Nothobranchius furzeri: one gene and its partners. The protein of the gene in region 2 interacts with the protein of the main gene of each other region in a pairwise test. Links are inferred from orthologs where the notes say so. Each region holds a gene or a part of one and is shown on either strand. Other genes may lie near its edges. The genes, in order: zbtb22b, vapal, oprm1 and pgrmc2.

The links.
Region 1: the proteins of vapal (region 2) and zbtb22b interact in binary tests that used the Homo sapiens proteins (3 or more experiments, as listed by UniProt). The two-hybrid records come from large-scale screens. The link is inferred for Nothobranchius furzeri from reciprocal best matches to the Homo sapiens genes VAPA and ZBTB22.
Region 3: the proteins of vapal (region 2) and oprm1 interact in binary tests that used the Homo sapiens proteins (3 or more experiments, as listed by UniProt). The link is inferred for Nothobranchius furzeri from reciprocal best matches to the Homo sapiens genes VAPA and OPRM1.
Region 4: the proteins of vapal (region 2) and pgrmc2 interact in binary tests that used the Homo sapiens proteins (3 or more experiments, as listed by UniProt). The link is inferred for Nothobranchius furzeri from reciprocal best matches to the Homo sapiens genes VAPA and PGRMC2.

The regions. Positions count from the first base shown.
Region 1 is NC_091759.1:22,811,662-22,817,987, reverse strand, and holds the start of zbtb22b (zinc finger and BTB domain-containing protein 22b), read left to right. Parts: upstream 1-2,162; 5' UTR 2,163-2,309; coding exon 2,310-2,381; intron 2,382-3,157; coding exon 3,158-3,370; intron 3,371-5,861; coding exon 5,862-6,326. UniProt on the Homo sapiens protein: May be involved in transcriptional regulation.
Region 2 is NC_091751.1:42,859,097-42,865,638, reverse strand, and holds the start of vapal (VAMP (vesicle-associated membrane protein)-associated protein A, like), read right to left. Parts: upstream 4,134-6,542; 5' UTR 4,038-4,133; coding exon 3,980-4,037; intron 1-3,979. UniProt on the Homo sapiens protein: Endoplasmic reticulum (ER)-anchored protein that mediates the formation of contact sites between the ER and endosomes via interaction with FFAT motif-containing proteins such as STARD3 or WDR44.
Region 3 is NC_091752.1:24,311,310-24,317,078, reverse strand, and holds the end of oprm1 (mu-type opioid receptor), read left to right. Parts: intron 1-1,636; coding exon 1,637-1,957; 3' UTR 1,958-4,450; downstream 4,451-5,769. UniProt on the Homo sapiens protein: Receptor for endogenous opioids such as beta-endorphin and endomorphin. Receptor for natural and synthetic opioids including morphine, heroin, DAMGO, fentanyl, etorphine, buprenorphin and methadone.
Region 4 is NC_091758.1:17,715,751-17,722,051, forward strand, and holds the start of pgrmc2 (membrane-associated progesterone receptor component 2), read left to right. Parts: upstream 1-2,653; 5' UTR 2,654-2,699; coding exon 2,700-3,042; intron 3,043-4,303; coding exon 4,304-4,459; intron 4,460-6,133; coding exon 6,134-6,231; 3' UTR 6,232-6,301. Other genes in the region: larp1b (la-related protein 1B), read left to right, coding at 1-1, 66-193, 306-536. UniProt on the Homo sapiens protein: Required for the maintenance of uterine histoarchitecture and normal female reproductive lifespan. May serve as a universal non-classical progesterone receptor in the uterus.

The DNA of each region.
Region 1 (6,326 bases), on a different chromosome or scaffold from region 2:
TTAACATTTCAAGAATTTTATTTCGGAGTGATATATAAATATTAGTTGAATAAGATTTTTGTACAGTATTTTGCATCAAAGATCAGTACTAAATACTCTGTGTAGTTTGGCACATACCGTTTTCATGATAGTTACAATAGACTTCCTGTTAGAATTGAACCCTTTTATTTTGAAGGGACAATTTCCTGTTGAGGGGAAACGCAAGCTTAACTGAAAATAATGGTACGCTACTTTTTTTTTTTCCACCAGAAGGTCGTGCTAGACAGGTTTTTAGGCGGAACTTTTACTTTTTGAATAAAACACAAATGTTAAAATAATAACTACATATCTACAGTACTATAAGACCGATATTTAAACAAATTATCAGCTAAACAAGTTGGTTTGGGTGCTACTTGCTCTTTAAAGAGCAAGTCAACCCCTACCAGAGTCTAACTCCACTCCCACTTCATGTTAGCCTAGAGAACTAGACCAAATTGTTGCTTTGCAAAGTTTGAAAGTTTAAATAATTTATTTAGTCTGGCTTGCCAGGCTAACTTCATGTTTGAAAAATGCAACAACTGCTGTTGCTTGGCAGACCGAAGGCAGAGCTGCTAACAAATACACAAACACACAGGCTCACGACAGCATTGTGACATCATAATGTACCAGTTTACATCATAGCATACCTCTTAGCCAATTTAAAGGCAGATTTAAATTAAAACAGTGCAGAGTTCCTGACAACGGCACAACACTGCCAGTTTTAGGCAGAATATTTAAATTTTAACCAAGATGCACTGAAGTGCAAAATATGTGTCTGCAGCACGATTACACTCGTTTATTATTGTAATCGAGTCACCTTAGTTCCTGGAAGTTACTCTGGTTATACCATAGACTGTAAATACGTGTCATGCTGCGGACACAGGGGAGGCCAGGTGTGTAATCAGAGGGCTGCTATAATTAGGGCAGCTGGGGTCTAGCCGCAAGAGCGGAATGCCTCGCTGTGGGTGCAGCCAAGTGTGTGAGCAGGACTGAGGGGTGAACAGCCGGAATTTTCATTGGCAAGCGGTCGGCCGATGAGACCTTAGCCTGCTACTGTTTTTCCAGTTCTTTTATTAAATCTTTTCTAGTTCTTTTATTAAACCGTTTGCCGGTTTTATCTTATTACTAATCGTTTTCTCCAGAGGGGGAAGGAAGCAAACTTGTGAGTCGGGTGGTTAGCGTTAAGCACAGTGCTGTCTCTGGGAGGCTAGCTTCTTTTAGAGTATCCGCTGTAGGAGTTTTCGGGGTTTTACTCACTTCTGGGTGACGTGTGTATGAGCTTTAGTTAAAGGGAGCACTGAGGCCCTGTCCACACGTAGCCGGGGATCTGCCAAAACGTAGACATTTTTCTACGTTTTGGCCTGTCATCCACACGAAAACGGATCTTTTTAAAAACTCCGGCCAAAGTGAAGATCTGTGTTTTCTCTGTTTTGGGTGTCTGCGTGTGGACAGACAAAACCGGAGTTTTAAGGTCCGCAACGTCACTTTCCGCGACAAAAAATGCTGACATCACGTGTGCGACCTGTGTTTACACTAGCTGACAGCATGGATGCCCTCAGAGCTGCGCACTGTCACTACCCGATCCCTCAATTGTCCAAGTGCTTTCTGCTTGTTTGTTTTTGCAAGCGGAATTACTGCTCCTTGCGGAAGACCACAGACGAGGTTAAGAACGGGGGAAGTACTGCCGCCTACAGGTCTGGCATGTCCTTAACAACGTATTTATCCGGGTACATGTGGACAGAGTTTTGTTTTAAAACGCGGTGGTGTGGATGCAAGTTTTTGGAGGGGCGGATATTCGTTTTCAAAAAACCCGGCTACGTGTGGACTAGGCCTGAGTGTTTTTCTTTATATTATTGTCTCTTGTCTCGGTTCCCTACAGCGGCTTTGTGCTTTTAAATAGTAGTTGGATGGCGTTGTGTGTAGTCCCAGGGCCAGCATTGTCGTCGCTCCTCCCTCTCGTGGTTTAGAGTTTTAGCCTATTTTTATCCCGACCTGGGTTGTCTTTAATAAATCTCCTGTGCTGTATCTTCTAAATAAAATTGTTAAACTTGTGACTAAGCCTCTGCTACGGTTTTAGGATGTAAGCATCCAACCCTCTAGGTCACATTTAGTTTATCAGCAAAACAAAGTTTATTTGGGGGTGACTTGCTCTTTAAAGGTCTGATTTTGTGTCGGCTAAAGTCTGGCTGTCTGTCTGGGGGTCGTTAAAGGCGACGCGTCGTTGTCTGCCGCCGCAGAAATCCGACCAGAACAAGTCCGTTTAAAAATGCTCCTGAAAGTTCGGGTTCTGGATGACCAGGCGGGTCGGGCTGCCCCTTTCTCTCCCACAGACTGGAGCTTTGAGGGCGGCAGAGACTGAAACGGTGAGCCGAACGTCCGCTTTTAGCCCACCGCCTAAGCTAACAGCTGCTAGCATCATGCTAACAGCACATCTGTAACGGAGTGACGGATTTTACAGATGTTTCCCTGACAGATGTGCACGATCAGCTACATAACATTTCACCGGTTTGTAGTTTTAATTTGTAACTTGAGTTTTAATCAACTAAAAGTAAGTTTGTGCCACAGATGAATGAACAAAATGTTGTCTGACACGTTTGACTCAAAACAAGGAACATAATCTGCAGTTTTCTGTCGGACTTGATATAAACTGTAGTTCTGCAGCATCATTGTGTTGTCATTAATCTGCTGTTACCTCTGTGGTTTAATCAGGATGTTTAACGGGAACTAAAAGCTGCAGGTTTTCAGACATAAACAAGATGATCGGTTTGTTATTGATCGTAAAATCTGACTTTCTGGCATTTTAGGGTTTCATTACATTAGTTTTAGGTTACTGATGAGCTTTAAATTGCTTTTTTATACATGGTTTACTACAGAGATCCTAATCTTGTCTGCAGCTTATTTCCTTTCTAAACACAAGGATGCACTTTAAATAATTTGTTGTTTTTTAGCACCAGATGACGTTTTTTTCTGGATTTTTTATTTATAAGAGGTTTAAATTGTCTGATAGGTTAGTCCAGATTATATGATTCACTTTTTCAAACTGCAATAAAAACTTTTGTTCATAAAAAAAACTAATTCTGAATCATATTTGGAGTGACTTAAAGCAGTTGCACTGAGTTGATGCTTTTCTACCATCCAGATGCAGTCGGTGTCCATGGAGGTGGGAAGCAGCAGATCAGGTGGTTCTGTGGTTCAGGTGAGCTTCCCCAGCGCTCAGACGTCTGTTCTGGACAGCCTGAACCGTCAGAGGGAGGACGGTAGTCTCTGTGATCTCTCCATCCACGTCCAGGGACACGTGTTCAAGGCTCACCGCTGCGTCCTCGCTGCTTCCTCGCCGTACTTCCATGACCAGGTCTGACTTCACTAAACCAGATAACAGTTACACACAAATCAGTTCAGTGTGTTAGACAAAAGTCACTAGTGTCTAAAAACACAAAATCCTAAAATTACAAAGCCATGATTAATTGTGTCTGCAGGATTTCTTTTTGCTTTTAGTTCATTTTTAATTAACCAGGAAAGTCTGGGGGGTCCTTCTTGAACCGTCACCTTATCATGATGGAGGAGTTTGAGTGCCCTAATGATCCTAGGAGCTATGATGTCTGGGGCACTTTGTGCCCCTAGTAGGGTCTCCCATGACACATGGGTTTTAGGTGAAGGGTGCGACAAAGAACAGTTCACAGGATCTTTCATGGACATTAAAACAAAGAGTCAGAGTACCCGGCCCGGAGGGTTACCGGGGTCACACCTTGGAGCCAGGCCTGGGGTTGGGGCCCGTGAGCGAGCGCCTGGTGGCACATGGGCTCATCCAACTGTGGACCCACCACCCGCAGGAGGAACATGAAGGGTCCGGTGCAATGTGGATCGGGTGGCAGACCAAGGCGGGAGTCTTGGCGGTCCGATCCCTGGACAAGGAAACTGGTTTTTGGGACATGGAACATCACCTCGCTGGCGGGGAAGGAGCAGGAGCTTGTGGCAGAGGTTGAGCGGTACCGGCTAGATATAGTCGGACTCGCCTCGACACATAGCATTGGCTCTGGAACCCAAGTCCTTGAGAGGGGTTGGATACTCTCCTTTGCTGGAGTTGCTCCGGGGGAGAGGTGGAGGGCTGGGGTTGGCTTTTTGTTAGCCCCGAGACTCTCTGCCTGTGTGTTGGGGTTTACCCCGGGGGACGAGAGGGTAGCTTCCCTGCGCCTTCGGGTCGGGGAAAGGGTCCTGACTTGTTTGTGCTTATGGGCCAAATATCAGTTCAGAGTACCCACCCTTTTTGGAGTCCCTGGGACGAGTGCTAGATAGTGCTCCATCAGGGGACTCCATTGTCCTGCTGGGGGAATTCAATGCTCACGTGGGCAATGACAGCATGACCTGGAGGGGTGTGAATGGGAGGAACGGCCCACCTAATCTGAACTCAAGTGGTGTTTCGTTACTGGACTTCTGTGCAAACCGCAGTTTGGCCATAACGAACACCATGCCCATCGGTACACTTGGTACCAGGGCAGCCTAGGTCGCAGGTCGATAATAGACTTTGTAGTTGTATCATCTGACCTGCGGCCGTATGTTTTGGACACCCGAGTGAAGAGAGGAGCGGAGCTGTCAACTGATCACCACCTGGTGGTGAGTTGGATCAGATGGCAGGGGAAGATGTCGCGTAAACCTGGCAGACCCAAACGCATAGTGAGGGTCTGCTGGGAACGCCTGGCAGAAGAACCTGTTAAGACGGTCTTCAACTCCCACCTCCAGAGGAGGGTGAGTTTGGTCCGCATAGCCGGTAGTAAGTCGGACCTGTTCCAGGTGAGGGTTGGACTCCACCAGGGCTGCCCTTTGTCACCGGTTCTGTTCATTACCTTTATGGACAGAATTTCTAGGCGCAACCGTGGTGTGGAGTGTGTCGAGTTTGGTGGCAGGAGAATCTCGTCTCTGCTTTTTGCGGATGATGTGGTCCTCCTAGCTTCATCCAGCTCTGACCTTCAGCTCTTGCTGGGTAGGTTCACGGCCGAGTGTGAAGCGGCTGGGATGAGGATCAGCACCTCCAAATCTGAGACCATGGTTCTCGACCAGAAAAGGGCGGCTTGCCAACTCTGGATCGGGGGAGAGGTCCTACGTCAAGTGGAGGAGTTTAAGTATCTCGGGGTCTTGTTCACGAGTGAGGGTAGGAGGGATCGGGAGATCGACAGGCGGATTGGTTCGGCGTCTGCAGTGATGCGGACGCTGAGCCGATCTGTCGTGGTGAAGAGGGAGCTGAGCCAGAAAGCCAGGCTCTCGATTTACCGGTCGATCTACGTCCCAATCCTCACCTATGGTCATGAGCTTTGGGTAATGACCGAAAGAACGAGATCGCGGATACAAGCGGCCGAAATGAGTTTCCTCCGTAGGGTGGCCGGGCTCAGCCTTAGAGATAGGGTGAGGAGCTCGGACATTCGGGAGGGACTCGGAGTAGAACCGCTGCTCCTCCGGATCGAAAGGAGCCAGTTGAGGTGGTTTGGGCATCTGGTCAGGATGCCTCCTGGACGCCTCCCTGGGGAGGTGTTTCAGGCATGTCCTGCCGGCAGGAGGCCCCCGGGTCGACCCGGACCCGGATAAGTGGAGGAAGACGACGACGAGGAGTCTGGGGTTAAAAACCTCTTTAAGGAAGTCCTGGGAAGGATTAATGTTAGAATGATGCGTGTTTGCTTTAATTAACTGATTAATTAATTTATTATATTAACAAAATTAAAACAGAACAAAAACATTCATGCAGGACCATGTCCTATCCAAATATTTAGTCAGGTATCAAAAAAAGATGTTTTTACAGAAAGAAAACCAGAGGTGAACCGTCCTTTGACCTTCTGACCTCCACCTGCCTCCAGGTGCTGCTGAAGAACATGTCTACCGTCTCCATCCCGGCCGTGATGGACCCGCTGGCGTTCGAGAGCGTCCTGAGCTGCGCCTACACGGGTCAGCTCCAGATGCTGAGAGACGACATCGTCAACTACCTGACGGTGGGTAGCGTGCTGCAGATGTGGCACATCGTGGACAAATGCACCGAGCTGCTGAGGGAGGGTCGAGCTGCAGCTGCAGGAGGTGGAGGAGCGCTGCAGGATGGAGCAGGAGGAGGTGAAAGGTCAGCCGTCGCCGGGTGTAGCAGCAGCAACAGCGAGGGTGGTGCCATCAGAGCCGCTGGTGCCGGTCAAGTCCAGGTTGTGGAGTCCGACGAGGCCCAGCGAGCCCCCCCGCCCCCCAGCCGGCCCTCGGTGAGTGAGAGCCAGTCCCCCAGCAGCACCAACTACTTCAGCCCCCGAGACGGGAGCAGCTTCGGGGGAGGAGGAGCTGCT
Region 2 (6,542 bases):
AAAAATGTTATGTTGTAATGGAATTCATGCATTAGTTTTTGTTTGCTTTCAACCCAGAGCAGACGTCACATGCCAGACGACATCAACACTGCATACTTTAGTATTTGTTCATTTATCGTAATATCGATATCGCATTATTAAGCACTTTTTTCCTAATATCGTGCAGCTCTAGTTTTTACCATCCTTTCTACACCCACCATGTCCTGAACATGGAGAAATAAGCTTTGGATGATGTGTGTAAAGCGTGTTTACTCTGATGAAGCACACGGACTCTGTTGCTACTGCAGTGTCACCTTCTTCCTCACTGGACGAGTGAATATCTTCATCAGAGGGTGAATGTTACTCTTCAGAATCTGAGTCAGCCATTATCAGACAAAGAGCTTCGTCAACAATGAACAGACCTGTCAGTATTGTAAGTTTCTCCTCTAATATATAATATTTGCCCTCTGTGTGCTCCGCTCATCTTTTCTCTGTTGGGAATCTCCAGACGGGGTGGGGGTGAAGGGGGTATTTCGGTTTTCGGCCATGTTTTCCTCATTTTCTGTTTCAGCCAAGAGTTTTCATTTCTGTGCATCCCTAAATTAAAATCTTCTATTCAGCATTGTGTATTTGCTTCAGCAAAAGTGTTTTCAGACAGGTGGAAAGCTTTCTAACAAGCCTTTCACTTGCACCCCCCCCCCCCCACACACACACACACACACCACCCCTCCAATAGATACACCATCTGATATCTATGCAAGGCTTTGCTCAAAAAACATTTAAGTCTTTCATGGCACTGTTAAAGCTCTCATTCACTTGCTTTTTCAACAAATCTACAGTGTTCTCTGGTATAAATGAATACCTTGTGAGATTATTCTGTGGAGAAAAACTCCTGTTTTAAATGTAGTGGTTAGTTGGAGGAGTGGGGAGGGTGCAAAATGACAGGAATATGAGTCTTACTCATGACACGTAAATCTCGCGCTTCTTTCTTGAGTAAATAAAAGCAACGTAGATGTGTTATCTCTGCAAATCACAAGCCTGAATGTGTTCCACCTTATTGTGTAATAGCTAATGGTTCGTTTCTACTAGCCGAGACATTTGCTGTTCTCTCCTGGCGGCCAAAATGAATATAGCCTTCGCCCGCCGCTGCAAATCAAAGTAGGTGGGGCCATGAATTAGAGCTGGACAATAATTCCCTTTTTCATTATAATCTATCAGGTAGCAGCATACTAGACTCACTACTTACTCCTAACCAATCAAAACCACAGACTCAGGCACGCTACGTCACCAGGCCCTCCCCTTCTCAAGCCAAATAGAGTAAGATGTCTCAGCGAGAGGTGGAGAAATAATTAAAAATACCAAAAATAAATTGGCCAGGGCCAGTAAAATATATTTTCTACAATTTTTTAAAATATTTTTCAATAATTATCTATATCGATCAATATAAAATTATTGTTATCGATATACTGTTTTTCTATATCATCCAGCCCTACCATGAATGCAAATTTTCCCTGCGACATACAGTGCGTTTACATGCATCCAGTAACCCTTTTAAAACCCGAATATTCACAATAACCCGGTTCCGCAGGTCCGTGTAAACACCGCCAGAAACCCGGATATGCTCATAACCGGGTTTTTAAAAACCCGGTTACTACACCTGGGGTAACCCTTTTCTAACCAGAATGTTTGGTCGTGTAAACGCATATCGGGATATCCACATCAAAGCGTGTGTTCTGCGCATGCTCTGTTCGCAAGGAATCTTGGTCTTTTGAGTAGCAAGACGTCTTGTATGCGCCAGAACACCGGAAGTAAACAAGTTGGGAGCAAAATGGCGAGTCGCGGCACAGCACCACACTTTCGGAGTGACGAGGAAACTAAAGCGCAAACAAACGCGGTCGCTATCTCTTCCGAACTGGGAAAAATGTTGTTGTTTTCACGGATACCGGAACGAGAAGAACCGGAAATGACGCATATTGCGTCTGGACGTAGTCCACACGTCCTGACGCTACCCCAACCTCCGCATTTACATCGGGTTATGCAAGTTAGGGGTAACTCTTTCTATTTGTGCTTGTAAACGGGTTATTCTGATCAACTCAGAAACCCGAATGCCGACCTTAACCCGATCATAACCCGGATATTGGCTGCATGTAAACGTAGTCATAGAAGAGCCTGGCTTTTTCTGACCTGAATGATTCTCCATTTGTTTCTTTTCTGCAGCTAATACAGGCAATGGGGCTTGGAGAAAATCTTTCACAGTCAGCCTACATGTGAAACTCAAGGAGTTAATGATCACATTTGAAAAACAAGTATTACAGTTTCCCAGTTAACGAGAACTTTAATACAGGTTTTTAACAACATCAAACCTCACCAGAAGTCACAGTCTATTCCATATCCGATCATATCATGAGCTGTGAAAAAGCAATCATCAAAATGTCACTTTATGTTGGTTGATTTTCTGTCTTTCACCTTCCTTTAGGAACAATGTTCTGAAAAACATGTTATGCGACAATAATAACAAGACACAGTCATGTGGATTAAACAAAGCATCAGATAAAACGCTTTGTTGTAATTAAGTCAATGAAGTTATTCAAATATAATCAATTTACAGCATATTTTTCTGACAATTTAGTTCTGAAAAGCTTCCTCGAGGAGTTGAGAAGCTTTATTTTACATTAACACAATCATTGACAAGTTTGCTAAGTGAATGTGACATAGTCCTGCTTTTTCACACCCTGTGATATCATCAGGGACAGAATTATTTTTATAACTGAACCCCATTCAGAGGCTATCTTTTGGCTCTGTTTTTAGAAATGGTGACCTTTGAATAAAATCCTGTCAAATCAACACATAATACTCACTCAGATGTTCTTTGGTTAGTAGTAATTGAAAAATCACAACAGGTTGTGACTGCATTCATTAGTAAACAAACAGGGGTGCAGTTTTAACTGTCTGAAAATGACTAAATTAAAGTATTAAACTTCATTTTTACATGCCTATTTATACTATGAAAAAGTATGATGGTGACAATGATGCCTGAGAGCGTAGAAAATGGGACAATTACAAAAAGCAGGAGAATTCTAGGTCAGGAGGATAAATGAGCACCGTAAATGATAAGGATAGAGAAGAAGTATTTAAAATTTACCAGGGATTATGGACTGCACAGAATTAGGCAGAGCAGTCTTCTGTCACCCTGTGAACTTGTTTGGAGCAACAGTTGGTTTAAAAGAAAGTCTTAAGTTTCCTTTAAATTGTTAATTATGTCACAGATTGTTTAAAGAGCAGGTAATGAACCAAGCTACACACCAACTTTAGCAGGTTAGATAACCTACAGCGAGCTGACACATCACTCTTTATCACTGCCAAGAAACAAAATCAGTGTTAGCCTGACTATAAACGTGTGCTTGCATCCATGTTTTTGTCCATAACATATGAAAAGTCTCCTAAGAGTCTATAGGTTTAATATAAACTGTTCAATAAGGACATTTCTACTAAAAGTACATAGTTACTTTCTCAGCTGAGTTTCTCATTCAGTTACTAACAGACCGTCATTAAAAAGCTTTTTCCTCAAGTCATTGAGCTGCCACAATGTTCATCAATGTCCACTTAATTAGCAATGAATTTAACGCTAAGTCTGCCAGAAAACAACTCTTTTTCTGCTGCCAACATTGGCGGCACTAGCATAGTAAAAACGTTACGCCTAAAGTGAATAAACCCGCAAACAAACCACAAAACATCTTGTTTTAATGCAATTTTAAAACCGCAGCTCAGAACCATAACGCTTCTTTACGAGCTGGCCGGGAGCGGTAGGCCGCCTAGACGTTCTCATCGCCGGATATCCACGTCACCACAGCTCGAGGCTCCAACGGCCTATCCTTTCCCTGGCTAACTTAAAATGGCGGTGAATGCTAACAGCCGGAGTGTGAAAAAAATCCATCCAGGTGGGTTAACAGTTCTGCTCAAACGAGCCTAACCATCCAAATAGACATTTTCGTTTCCCTACCTTTAAATTTGAGGTCGCAGGGAGGGTCTAAGATTAAAACCTGATCCGGCTTGGACATTTTAGCGAGTCAAACGCTGAGTGACTTCTGGTCCTGAAAGGCGCATCTGCGTACAAATACTTCACCGAATCACCGCGCGAGAGCTCAGCCCTCCGCGGCGCGCGCCGCGTCCTCGTGGCTCTCTAACAAATAAGATAATCCTGCACTAAAATCATTAAACACTGACATGTTTAGAGGGAAGAACATCTGATAAAACTGCACAACAGTCCTGATTTGACCCGCACAAAGGTGAACGCGAGGTTGCGGATGATTGTGATGTGGTGCAGTTTTGTGAAAGAGTAAAATAACAAGTCTAAATTCATTATTTTTGTTTCAGATTTTTCTATTTTGTGACAAATAAGCCAAAAACAGACATAACACAAACGAAAAGTCAACAGAATAGGGAAAAAATAAAAATATATTTTAACCAGTAAAACAGGGGTGTCCAATGTGTGTCCAGCAGGTCTCCGGGTGATTTTTGCCCTTTGTATTTTCAAAAAAAATAAAAATAAAAAACTTTTTTTACTGATAAAAGGCCTAACAACATTTCCAATAAATTAATTTTTTTGAAAACTGTTATTAAAGTTCTACTAAATTATTTTATTGCGATAATTATTTTTAAAGGAAGAGGCAGTTTTGACTTGCTTTAATCACCCCTTAGTGTCCGTTTAGTAGAACCAAAAGCAAAACTTATCTCCTCGCTGTGCGTTCGTCGTTTTAACACCATCTAAGAGCTGAAATGTCTCCCCAGCCTTCATTAGTGTCTACAGCAGTAATGCATCACTAAATCAAACATGTCAGCTGTGTTCATGATCTAATACATACAGGAAAAATGCTGGCAGCAGATTACAGCGCCAGGTATGTCAGCTCAGTTTTTTTTTCCAGGTCCAAATCTCTCTCTGCAGTCTAGTCCAAATGACCAAACTGCACTCTGAAGTTGCAACTGCAGTACACTGGCCTCAGAGAGTGGTGGGGGTCTGTGTGACATTTCATGAACCCTGTAAAGGGTCATTTTAACACATACTGGCTCATGAAAATTATTACAAATCATAAAGTTGCCTAGTATGCGTTTAAGACCAAGAAAATCTATTTATCAAATGTAATGTTTTTGTTTTACTAATGCAAACACAAGATCCCTTTACTGTCTGGACACTTTATTCCACTTGCACAAACATACAGTAGGTGGGCTGTCATTTCAACACAATAAAAATGTTTGTTTTATTGTATTTAGCATCTATCTTGTTTATTTTAGACCTCAGTTATACTCTCAGCATCCAGCGGGGGCAGCAAAGTAGGAATTTCATCGTTCAGCTGCTTACTGCACATATAACAATAAAGCTTTTAGCGTTAATGTCTCATAAATGCAACTTTTTTTAATTAAAGCTTTAATATTACATGTTTATTGTGTTGTTGAGCAGGTCAAAATATTTTTTGTAAAAGTAATTACTAAAAATATCCTAGATTTTTACTATTATCTTGGCTATTTTAGTTTCTGGTTTGGGCATCACTAGATTTTATTTCAAAATAAATCACTCTAGGACTTCTTAAAATAAAAATATGCATTTTTCAATTCAAAATGATAAACTATGATTTCCTCGACGCTTTAATATTGCTGATATATTTGAATTTGGCTACAATTTAATCCAAATGAGTTGAAATTTCCATTAATTTGTTATGTCACCTGATTATCGTAGTTTTAAAGATCTACGTGATAGTTAGAAAAGGGGTTTTATTTCATTAATAAAATTTGTACTGGCTGCTGATGCACCGTCATTTTATCTTTGGCATATTGCTTTATCAATTAGATAGGATTGTAATCTTTTTAGACATGCCTCTAATTTATGTCCTTCAAAAATAAAGGCATGATGAAAACTAGAAGAAAGAGTACGATTATAATTTTATTACAATGTCAGTGACTTCTACACAGAATACATGAGAACAAATACTTGCATACAAATGAGGTTAAATGGAAACTATAGGCACTTTTAAAGATATGGGTACCGTCAGACTGCACCAAAAGCTGATATTCACTTTTAGCCATGTCATACATTTTTAAGAAACAATAAAAAAGACACATGTGTGAATCTAAACAGCATTTTAACAAAGGAGCATGTCCATAAGTGTAACATTCAGCTTTTAGGTGACTTTCACGTATCGCTTTAGGGGAATAACTGTTAGACATCGGGGAAACACCGTAGTCACAAGTCTGACATTTACTCAGAATAAAATCTGATGAGTCTAGAAAACCACGAGCGAAAGGTCACTGCCAATCTCGCTTCCAGAGGTTTGTGTTGAACGTTTTCCAAGTGAAGAAACACAGTTTGGCTAATTAATGAATGGATTTTGGTGTAAACTGTCCACACTAACATCAGCATAGATGGGCGTTTATAAAGTATTTTACTATAAATAAGAGATTTCATTATTACATCCCACAAATTGATAAAAAAAATAAGTTGTTTGACTTTGCAGCACATTCAGATAGAAAAAAAGTGTTTAACATTTTTTTTAAAGTACATATTTTTTGTT
Region 3 (5,769 bases), on a different chromosome or scaffold from region 2:
AGCTGCGATTGTTTTACAGCTGTTTCTGGAAGACCATGAAGACCATTGCAATAATCCAGCCCACTGGAGATGAATGCATGAGTTAGTTTCTTTAGGTCTTGTTTTGACATGAGACCTCTGATTCTTGCTAATTGATGGAGACGGTAAAACGCTAATCTAGTTATAGCATTGATGTGAACAGGGAAGCTCAGGTCTGAATCAATGGTAACACTAAGGTTTCTAACCTGAGTCTTTGTCTTTATTCCTTTGAAGCTAAGTTGAGAAATAACCTCTATCCTATCATTCTTATTTCCGAACACAATAACTACAGTCTTGTCTTTGTTAAACTGAAGGAAACCTGTCATTAACTTGCTCTATGCACTGACAGAGTAAGTCTAGGAGACCAGATTCATTAGGTGATGGAGCTATGTAGATCTGGGTGTCATCTGCAAAACTTTGGTAGGTGATGTTGTTATTGTTTATGACCTGACCCAGTGGAAGCATGTAGCGATTGAAAAGCAGTGATCCAAGAATCGGGCCTTGGGGGACACTGCATATCAGTGCGATTTGCTTTGATTTTTTTCACCAATGGAAACATTATTCCTGTCTGCAAGTTGTGATTGAAACCAACTATGGGCTGTACCTGAAATTCCCACCCAGTTCAGTAGTCTATCAAAAATAAATCACTTTCTTTGTTACTGTTTTTTGCACTTATTTTTTTGAGAAATGAAAAATATTGCATTTGTGTCCCAATTGAAGATAAGTAAATTAAAATGAAAACATCCAATTGTCTTGTAAAGAATGTGCATATGTATTTTCACTCTTCAGTTGTTATTTTTTATTTTTAAATCCCAAATATGCTTAATAATTTAGACAAATCTGATCCAGTTTGTGTAAAGTGGCTGTACACTGTAAAAAATTACTGTTTATTTAACAATGATAAACCGTAAAACCATAACAGGAAAAAACCGTCAGCTATAAAACTATTTAAAACTGTTGATTTAATGTGGTGTTGCCACTGGTGAAAACAGTAATTTATAAATTCTTTGAATAAAATACATATTCCCACAGTAAAGCACTCTTTCGTCAGCTTTTTTCATCAACGGTATAAACACTATGATTTTTACATTTATTAATTGAAAACATTACAGCTTTTAATTGCTGATAACGGATACATGGTGTAATTTAAAGGCCCCGTGTGTGAAATTCACAGAAATCATAGTAAAAAGATCCGACTCTTTAGCACCACGCAGTTTATAGTTGGTATTGCAGCTATTGGAGCCCCCGAGGATCAAAAAGGGTTTTTTTAATCATTATTTAAAACTTTATTAACAAATATAACAAATACAATACAAAATCGTGTTGCTGTAAACGGCAGCATGTCATCATCTAATTCCAGCTTTCAAGTCAGCGAACAGGTTAGTTGTTTTCATCTAACTTATTTTATTAATTTAATCTAAATAGGTTTTGAATAAGAAAAACTTTTTTATGTCAGTTATGTTTGCTAATAGCAAACGGCAGCTAGTTAGTGATGACTTCTGACTACAAAAAATGACAATATTTTGTTCATTTTATTTGAGAAATGTTATATTTCTATTTGCCATTTTGGAAATATACAAGGTAGTGTAGTCTGTAATTGTTTTCTCTCCGTAAACAGAGTCAGATATCATCCGATGGTTCATCAGTGAAGACAGACAGAGGACGAGGGAGAGGAAGAGGGCGAGGAAGAGGGAGAGGAAGAGGGAGAGGAAGAGGGAGAGGACAGACGTGTGCCAGCGCACAGAGAGGCAGAGGTGTTAGACATGCGACAGAAGCAGGGCAAGCATCCCAAGATGAAGGAGCCGAATTTGCTCAAACCAGCCGCAACGTTCCACGCACAAGAGGAAGAGGCAGAGCTGCAATAAAGTCTAGAAGATCGGCGCTTTCAAGCACTTTCAAACTATCCCGTTTCTCAAGTTTGCTTGTAGAATATGTGTGATCCTCCATCGCTAGAAGTACGGTGTGGCTAGTTTCTTCTTCTTCTTAGTTACTTTGTCAGACTGCATGCTTACAAGGCGCACTTCTGCCCCCTGCTGTTTCTTTGAGGTTACATCATTTAAAAACGCAAACATCAAATGCGAAGCTTAATATGTTGTATGTCCCTAAAAGGTCACTGTATTTTAAGATGGCGCATGCCATATGGAGCACCGGTCTGCTTCTTTTGTCTAAAATATTAAAATATAAAGCTAATAATAATGCTTAGAATAAATGCTTGTTTGAATTATCATTAAAAAAAAACAAATTTGAGAATGTGATACAAGAAATTTGATAACTTATAAGATGAAATATCACACATTGGGCCTTTAACGTTGTGAATTTTACATTAATGTCACATGAAAACACTAGATTATACAGCATTAGGGATGCAGATTTTCCAAGATTTCTTTAACAAGTTATTGATGCCCTTAACGATTATTAGCCATTAGCCATTAAGTAAATTAATTTGATCATGTGACAAGCTCACTTCTTCTGTGGTGTTTCAGTCAACATATTTTGGTAGCGGCACTCGCGTGCCTTTTAGAGACACAAAAAAAAATTGTAGCAGTTGCTGGGGAGAATTTACTTCCTGTTTCCCAGTGAGCTTAACGGCATTTAGGTGAAGTCTGGCACAAAATAAACAATCAATGATGAACAAGAGTCTGCTTCTAGACCTGCAGAAGGAGAAAAAAAAGAAAAACAACACACAACAATACAACAGGAGCAAACAATCACTGTATCAACCTGATGAGAAAATATTAAATCAACAATGTTTTACTGAACAATCACACGATAATAAATCACAGTGTATTAAGTGCCAACCACAGCCTCAAGGCATGTGTTGAACGTGCCCAAGTCCATACTTATGAGAGCACCATGTGAGCACCTGTGTGCGTACCCGCGCTTGCATATGTAAGGTTTCTCTATAGGAGCGTCCAATAGAGAGTGTGAGGGGCCACAGATCTGCCCCCAAAGATGTGTAGGAGCTCCAAGTCTCAGAGATCCAGGAGCTGCCCCAGAGTGCAGGGACCCCAGGGAGACTGCAACCAGAAAAGCCCCTGCCCCCCTCGAGAGGCGCAGAGGATTGCCCCGGGGGGCCACAACCAGCATCCGGCAGAGTCCTGTGAGATATCAGCGGCAAGCCCACAGGCCCGCCCGCAGCCTCCCACCCCCCAGCCAGCCGAGCCCAGGACCCAGGGGCGACCAACCCCGCCGGGGACCCAGCAGAGCCCAGGGACCCAGATCCCACCAGGCAGCCACCGGGACTGATCAGGCAGACACCAAAAATCTTAAACCCCCTAACCACGAACACTCAGGCAGACCAAGGCACCACACTCCACACCAGGTGTGGCAGGGGGAGGGGAGATGAAGATGTATAGCATCAAAAGAAGTCCCAGGAGGAGGGAGGAGTCAAAGGCCCCACCTGACATATACAGTCATACACAGACACAGTAATACACTCCCTCCCTCATGCTCACACATACACATACAACCAAAGACTTACAAAAATGCATGCCGGACACCCACTCATGCTCCCCATACACACCCTATTCACTCTGGTCCCGGTACTGCTGCACATGGGGTAAAACCATTACCGGTTCCCAGAGTTCGACCCTTTCTGCTGGGATGCTGATGAGCAGACTCCCCCGCCCAACACTGAGCAAAGCAACCCACCACCCCAGACCCCAACCAGATGGCCAGATCCCCCTCCTAGCCTCCAGCTCCGGGAAGCCAAGCAACAACAGAGGTGTGCTAAGACCCCTAATCTCCCTCCGCTTGCTCCAATATAGTGTTAGTGCATGTTGATGAGGTGTAGTCCATGGCTGTGGTGAGCGGGCAACGCGGGCATCGTCTAGCCTACGCCAGCTGATGCCACCACACCACCCCACTTGCACCCACAGCCCTTAGTGTCTAAGTGCAGTTTAAAATGGGAAGTGGGCACCAGCACTCAGAATGAGGCTGAAAAATCCCCCTGCCAAATGCCGTTGAATGTGCTCACTCCCAAGACCCCAAGTGTTTGCGTGGAATGTCGTTGGTGGAAGTGTTTATGGTGCAAATAAAATTGGGGGGCAGATTGCCACAGGAATGTGGAAATGGGGTCCATACCTGCACCCCCTGACTTGTCCACCCCCCCAAGGTCCTATGTGCATGTTTGTGTGATGATGTGAGGGAGCAGGAGGAGAAAAATGTGTGGGTATGGGGAGGAATGGCTGGCTGGGCTTAAGCCCTCCAGGGAGCCAGCTCCCCCACTGGCCCCAATAGGCACCTCTGTTGCCAAAAGGCCACCCAGGGCTCTTTTATCGTAAAATCTAAGATTTTTTGACAGTGTAACATGACAATGAGTTCCCCTATCAGTAATATTATGGACTTATCTGTGAAAGAAACGATTCACTGTGGTAAATTGCAACACTTTTAGAGTGAAAATATTGGTTGAATTGACACGGACACACTTTGTTCTCCCTCTGCAGGTATGACTAGCCTTGGAGGGGTCGTCGATGGACTCTCGCTGTCGTGGTGGCGTTGCCAACGATGATCTCAACTCAGAACTCACACAGGTCACCACGGGGCTTTAATCCCACGCTCGGGGGAACAAAAAACCACACGTGCACTTGGACAAAGGTGGCTGGCACATTTCATGGTGGCTGGAAACCTGCTGACTTGTGCTCAGAAGCTGCGTGGCTGCATGTTTGTTTGTACTCGGCAGTCCAAATTAAAAACAGCATGAAATATTTAGATTAAATTAAATATTTATTAAAAATACCACCATAAGAAGAAGGATGTTCCAGGCAGTATAAAAAATCTAATGTTTTATCACTAAAATGTCTTTTGCTCTCTGGTTATATGATGATTTTTATAGACTCTGCCTCGCTGATCTGCTTCAACATCGCTGCTTCGTCCAGGTTCTGCCAACAGATCCATCATTTGCCTTCATAACTCAATGCCATTCCTTTGTCAGAAGTTATTGCTAAATATTACCACATGTCAAAATAACACGGTGAGTTATTAAAAATGTGAATTTCAAGTGTTCCTTCACTCAAAAGCTCCAAGGCTTTATGCCTGCGCGGGGACTTTTCTGAGCAGAAAGTGCAGTTGACAGTCATTGGGATCAGCTGTGCTTTTCCACAAGCCTTTGTGCAGCTGCAACAGGGGTTGACCTCAGAGTTTAACACCAATCGGCTTGGCACCACGCTGGACCTGGGTCACTTCAGAATTATGGAGTGGTCCATTTCTGCTCCTCACTTCAGACGATACATAATTCTTCAATCCAACTTGAGGTGTATAAAGCCTTTGAAAGCATGATATGGCGAGTTCTAGGTTCTCTCCTGTTCAGACAGGAAATCATCTGTGTCCACCACAGCGGACGCTAGTGCCAAACAGTGGGTGCTCCAAACCAGCAAACAAGATGCATCAGCTTGTTTGAACTGCACACATAGCATACTGTTAAAAGATCCAGAGCAAACACGGTGTATGATTAACCTCCGTTTAACAGCCATTACAGCGGCTTTAGGAGGAGCCATTTCTCCTCTGGGGAGCCTAACAGGTGAGCCTATCGGAGCTGGACATCTGGTGTCATCTGTAAAACTGCTTAAGTGTTGTCGCGTATCGTTGTGCAAGATGCCTTTTATTTCCCAGTTTCTCTCTTCACTGCATTCAGTGAGCCAGTATTTTTATGAGACTTTATAAAGAAGGAAACGTTTACCTCATTGCATAACGTATGGTGTTGCTTTTTTATACGCTACTTTTAAAATAAGTAATGAAAATGTGTTTCTAAAC
Region 4 (6,301 bases), on a different chromosome or scaffold from region 2:
GGTAATCACCTCGTTCCAAATGTTTGTTACTCAGCCCAGTGGAACACTAATCCTCCTCCCCTCAGGTCAGCTGTACGGCCTGGAGAAGTTCTGGGCCTTTTTGAAGTATTCTAAAATAAAGAACCAGCCCATAGATCCAAAGCTGCAGGAGCATCTTCACAAGTTCAAGAACCTGGAGGACTTCAGGGTGGTGGTAAGCCTTTCTCTATTATTTACTGACGCACTTGGCTTCCAGATTATTAACTGATAAGATGGCTGAAACCTTCCTGGGGACCTTAAGTATTGTGACGAATGTGTGTCTGCAGCCTCCAATAGGAGGGGCGGGGGGCAGGAGAAGACATCACTCCTCCTCAGGCAGGGATGAAGAACGCCATCGACATTCTTCCAACTCTATCTCCAATCCCACCAAGGCCTCTAAACCCTCCAGCGCTGCAGCCTCCTCCGTCAAAGACGCCACCCAGAAAGCCCCGCCTGTCCACAGGGAGAAGGCTAGCAGCCGAGCAGGAAGGAAGGATGGTGCTAAGCAGGAGAAATGATCCTGACGTGGATGGAGCTGCAGCTCAGCTCAGCGTATTTCACAAACAAACCGTTTGGTCATGAAGAAAGACGTAGTGTTAATTAGATTGTTTTTATCAGAGCTTTTTTCTTTAAAGCAGCAAGCATAGGCAGCGAGCTCATAATGTTTACAAAACAACACAAAAAAATGCATTCCTCGCATTTTGTCTTTTGACTCTGATGCCAAACTGATTGCTGTAAACCGTGAAGGTGTTGGATGGAGACGCTGTGGAGAATCTCATGTGCCTTAATCCTCATCACGATGAATGGAGTGTGTTTAATGACTAATTAGTACAAATAATCCTGCTTTCTATCATTTTTGACAATCAGGTAGACGGCTGCAGCCATAGATTAGACAGAAGCTCCTCCAACAGACGTTCCTCAGTTTAATTAAAAACATACAAAAGTAATGATTTTTTTTAACTTAAAGAACAGATTTTAAAGTGTCTGAGGGTCAGCTTCATTCAGTCAAGTGTTTTAGAGCAGAGCCAAACCAAACTAACTAGTGACACTAAATAAAGAACAGAATCAAACATCTTTAGACTTCTGTCAAACGCTGCAGCTCTGTCAAACATTTATCTTTTTACAGCGTTCCATTTTCTCACCAGAACAGTCGTTATAAAATTCAGACATTTATTGAGGCTCTTTCACGTTCATGGTGAGCAAACCTGCTCCATAAATTCTTGTTCAGGCATGGGCAGACAGCTCCCAGGAACAACAACCTGTACCAAACCTGGATTTGTATTAGCTTGAAAGCAGCTAACGAGCCAGCCCCACTAGTTCCACCCACAGACAGCTCATAATTTATTGTTTTATATAACTATTGCATCGACTTGACTGATGGAACAGTCTTAGGTGATCATTTCAGTTTTTAATGCTTTTGCTTTTAAATGTGAGGAAAAATATGAAATATTTCTGTTGGGATTATGAGCATAAACTAGCATCAAAACTACCATTAAATGACTTTTCTTCACTGGACTTGATGGGTTTTAGAGATAGAATAAAAGATAAATGTAAATATTATGAAAATAATTTGCTATTCAATTATTCATTTGATTTTAAAAGTAATTTGTTTTATTAGTAGTGTGTTTTTGAGTGTTTCAGAATAAAGCAGTGCATGTTTGATGAATTGTAAAATGCAAAAAAATAAAAAACTATATATATATATAATAACATCTGATTGTATGAAGTTGTGTTTGAGTGATTTGTTCTACTGCTCTGCTAATTCTAGTTGGTTTCACCAGCCACTTACTGTTTTCACCTTTAGATATCAACATGCAGCTGGAGGTAAAACCACAGTGGGACATCAGTATCATAAGTGCAATGGATGAACAAGATGCAGATGAATCTTCAATAAATATTCATAAAAATGAATGTCAAAAGTTGCATAAGCAATTAAGTGTTTAATCTTGTTTTTGAAGACCTCACAGGAGCATCAAACATCTACCCAGGGTTTACAAAAATAGCTCCTGGAAGCAGCATAATTCAGTTTACAGCTCCATCTTTAATCTTTGTCCCAAAATTTTCAAAAGGATAAATCGACAAATTTTCAGAGTCTTGTATTTTTTTTAGGTTTCATCTAAGTAACTTTTACAGGAAACCCGAATGTTCCAGCAGAATGGAAATAAAACAAGCATAAAGAAAATATAAAACCAATCAATACCTTATAAGGAGATCATATAAAAGGGGAATCATATTGAGGTGAGATGTTCAGATTCTATATATTTGATTTATTTATACAGGCCGCTCACGCCAGAACATGCCAGTTTAGACTGACGTGAAACGGAAAAAACTATGAAGGTAAAAGCCTGCCAAATTTGTTACGATGTGGTAGATTTCAATATGTAAATGTAACTAAATAAGACGTGAATGTTTACGTTTTATTCTAAATATTTAAGTATAAAGGTGTGAATATTGTCATTTCCTAAAAACATGTAGTTAAAACGCTACTTTAAAAGCTCACACACACCTTTTATTATGAATTTGTATTTATTGGAACTTAATTATTCATTTATTACGACTAAAGGAGGTAGTTAACGCCTTGACTTTGTAATTTTCACGCTCGCAAAGCTGGAGTTCTTCCCATTTCCAACGGAGCGTGAACGCAGCATCTGGCCAGGGGCGGGTAGTGCTAACTGTGCAGCATGGCGGACGATGGAGACAGTTCGAGCGGACCAGTTGACACAAGGGTCGGGCAGGGGACAGCGGAGGAGCCAGACGGGCTCGGGCTCAGTGGAATGTTGTTGAATATCAGCAGTTTGGTTCTGGTAGTGGCTGTTTGTTTTGCGGTATACAGGCGGTGGGGTAGACGGCTCGGCTCCGGCGCGGCCCACGGCGACGAGGCCTCGGTACTTCCCAAGATGCGGAGACGGGACTTCACTTTGGAGCAGCTGCGGGAGTATGACGGGCTTCAGAACCCTCGCATCCTCATGGCTGTCAACATGAAAGTGTTCGACGTGACCAGTGGCAAAAAGTTTTATGGAAAAGGTGAACGGGCAACGAGCGGGTGGCTCTGATAGCGAAGTTAGCTGACACGTTGCCGTCTGCAGTGAGTCGCCCTGGACCAGAATTTGAGCGCAAACCGCTCCATTTTAGCTTAGCCTAGCTTAGCTCCCTGGCTTTGTTTGGTTTGAATGGAATTAGCTGCTAGCTAGCTGCGACAGCTGTTACAATAACAACATTTCCACATATTCAATCTTTGAGCCGCGAACCAGTGAATTATTTTGGGTGGAGTTGTATTAACACTGGAGGAGAAGAATTTGTAAAAAAAAATAAAATAATTTGGCTAACCTCTGCCTGCAGCAATTATCCTGTTGATAACTAGCCTGGACACGCCGCTTGTTTACACTGATGAGACTAACTTTGGACGGGGACGCGTCCCCGCAGAGCAGTTCTGGTATGACTGAGAGGGTCAGATATTTGTAGGAAGATGTCTTATCATCACTGCTGATATCTGGCACCAAACATAAAAGCTATTTTCACTTTAAACATGTTCTAGAGCTGTACATACGTTTTATGTCTCACTGTTATAACAAGCCCGGTCAGTATGAGCTGGGTGTGGGTTGGGTTCAGTATCACCGGAATTTAAAGTTTAATTTCATCTGGTGTATTTTCAGACAGGGTAATGTTAGTGCTCGGTAATTTAAACATACCCGTAAATGAATCAGTCCATCTCTCGGTGGAAGGCAGCTGAGATTTTCATCTCAACTGTTTCAGAAACGATTTTACTTGTTTCCAAAAATAAACTGTTAGAGAACTACTATCACTAGCCTTGCTGTGGTCACACAGGCATCATGTGAAAGGGAAGCACTCTGATTCACTATATCTTTAAAACCATTTTCTCACTTCTCCACAACAAAGCTCTGATTTTTCACGTGGGAGTCAGATGATGGCTTGAACATGACTAAAGATGTTTTAATGAAATGTTTTTCATGCTTGTGAAACCTGTGCGGAGCTCAGTCAGACCAGCTGGCGTCACCTTCTACTCCTGTAGGAAATTTTCACATAAAATTATTCATTAAATAAGTAAAGCAGAGGGCTTTCACTATAGTTAAGACCAAACAACATGTTAAAAGCTTCAGTAAACAAGGAATTACACCAAACAGCCGTTGTGTGTTTAAGGAATTAACAGAATAAACAAATCAAACTTCTTGTTGTGAAGCTCATACTGATGCTCTTTCTGGGAAAAACACAAGAAGAAGTTCTTCTTTTTCAGGTCTTATTGACGGGTGTTGTTTTTTCCTTTCAGACGGCCCTTATGGTATTTTTGCTGGGCGGGATGCTTCGAGGGGCCTGGCCACATTCTGCCTAGAGAAGAACGCCCTGAGGGACGAATACGACGACCTATCTGATCTCAGCGCTGTACAGATGGAGAGTGTGAGGGAATGGGAGATGCAGTTCATGGGTAAGCTTTTACATTTGGTTTATAGCTAATAAATAAGCTGCTCACTGAGTGCTGCTTTGATGCAGATGCTGCAGAGACATCTAAAGGTATGCATTTTAATTCTGGTAAACCTGACTGACTTGTTTTTTATGTTGATTATAACTTAAATGAGTGTGGTTTGATTATGTTCCTTTTAAAGGAGAGAACATGTATTTTCATTTGTTTTAATTTAGTTAATTGTACAAAAACAACTAGATTAATAAAGAAAAGAAAGTCATATATTTAGTTGAAGATAAATGTTAAAGAGCAAGTCACCCCCTACCAGAGTATTACTCCACTCCCACTTCCTGTTTGAAAAATGCAACGAATGCTGTTGTCTAGCAGACTGAGATGGCGGAGCCGCTAACAAATACACACACACAGACTCACGGCGACATTGTGACATCATATGGTACCAGCTAACGTTCTAAGGTACCTCTTAGCCAATAGCGATGACAGATTTGAATTCAAATGCAGAATTTTTACCTGACAATGGCACAACACTGACCGTTTAGGCAGAAAATTAAGATTTTAACTAAAATGCACTAAAGTGCTAAACAATTGACTACACATGTCTGCAGCACGATTAGACACGCATTTATATAGTTTATCAGGAAAAAAAGTTGATTTGGGGGTGACGCTCTTTAACTTTATTTAGCTCACTAGCCCTAATGACTAGTTTTAGTCCTCCTGTAGACGTGAAGCTGCTGCTTAGCTCATTTACACAGGAGCGTTAATTATTATCTTTAAGCTGAAACCAGAATAATTGTAGAATTGGTATTTGAGGTACTTTAACCTGGTAACCCAACTGACCGCTTAAGTTTCAACAGAAATATCTCGCGTCAGATCAGACTAAACTAACAAGTGCTGTTGCCACATGGGCTGAAAAAAGACAGAATACACTGAATATGTAATATGTGTAAGACTGTCCTTGAGCCTCGTCTTCATCCTGTTTACAACACAAGTCGTCTCAAATTACAGCATCAAATCTAAATTATAAAAGCTCCAGATTCCCTTACTGGTTGCAGTAAATGAAAATAAGTTTAAAGTAACTGTATATTTTTACCTTTATTCTCTGGAAATGTCCATCAAAATGTTGGAAATGAGTAAAATGTCCAGTAGTTGAAAAGTATTGGCGGCTTCGTAACATAACCAAAAAAATATCAAGTCTAAACTGCATAGTCCATGGGTCTAGCGCCTTTGGGGGGCGCCATATTAGACGCCATGTTTCCTTCTGGCCGGCTTGGGCTCCTGTGCCTGTTGATGATGTCACATTAGATGAGTGGCTAGACGTACAACTTCCTGAAGTTACGTTACCACGTTCAAAAATATTTAGGCAGTAAGAAACACAAATTCAATAACAAAACTGCTAAACTTTTTTTGAAATCTGTGTAAAAGAACAGAATCAAAAAGGGATGCAATACATTTTAGCCGAGTGGTATTACCGTAGTATGATGTCATCGGCAGGTGCAGGACCCCAAGCACACTGAGGTAACATTTACCGTATTGTTTTTTTAAACTAGCGACGGTCACGATTATATGGTGTAAAACTACCCAGAAATGTGTGTATGTGCTGCCCCCTAGTGGCAGGAACACAACACACTGCCACTTTTATTAAACTTGATTATATATAAAATACGTTTGTTGTGTTTTCAGAAAAATACGATTATGTTGGAAGGTTGCTGAAGCCTGGAGACGAACCGTCAGAATACACAGATGAGGAGGACATCAAGGACCACCTAAAGCACGACTGAGCACTTTCCACTGCATTAACCAAAGCCAGAAGCCCCAAGCAGCTGCAACAGGCTTCCTCCCCTCCTGCTC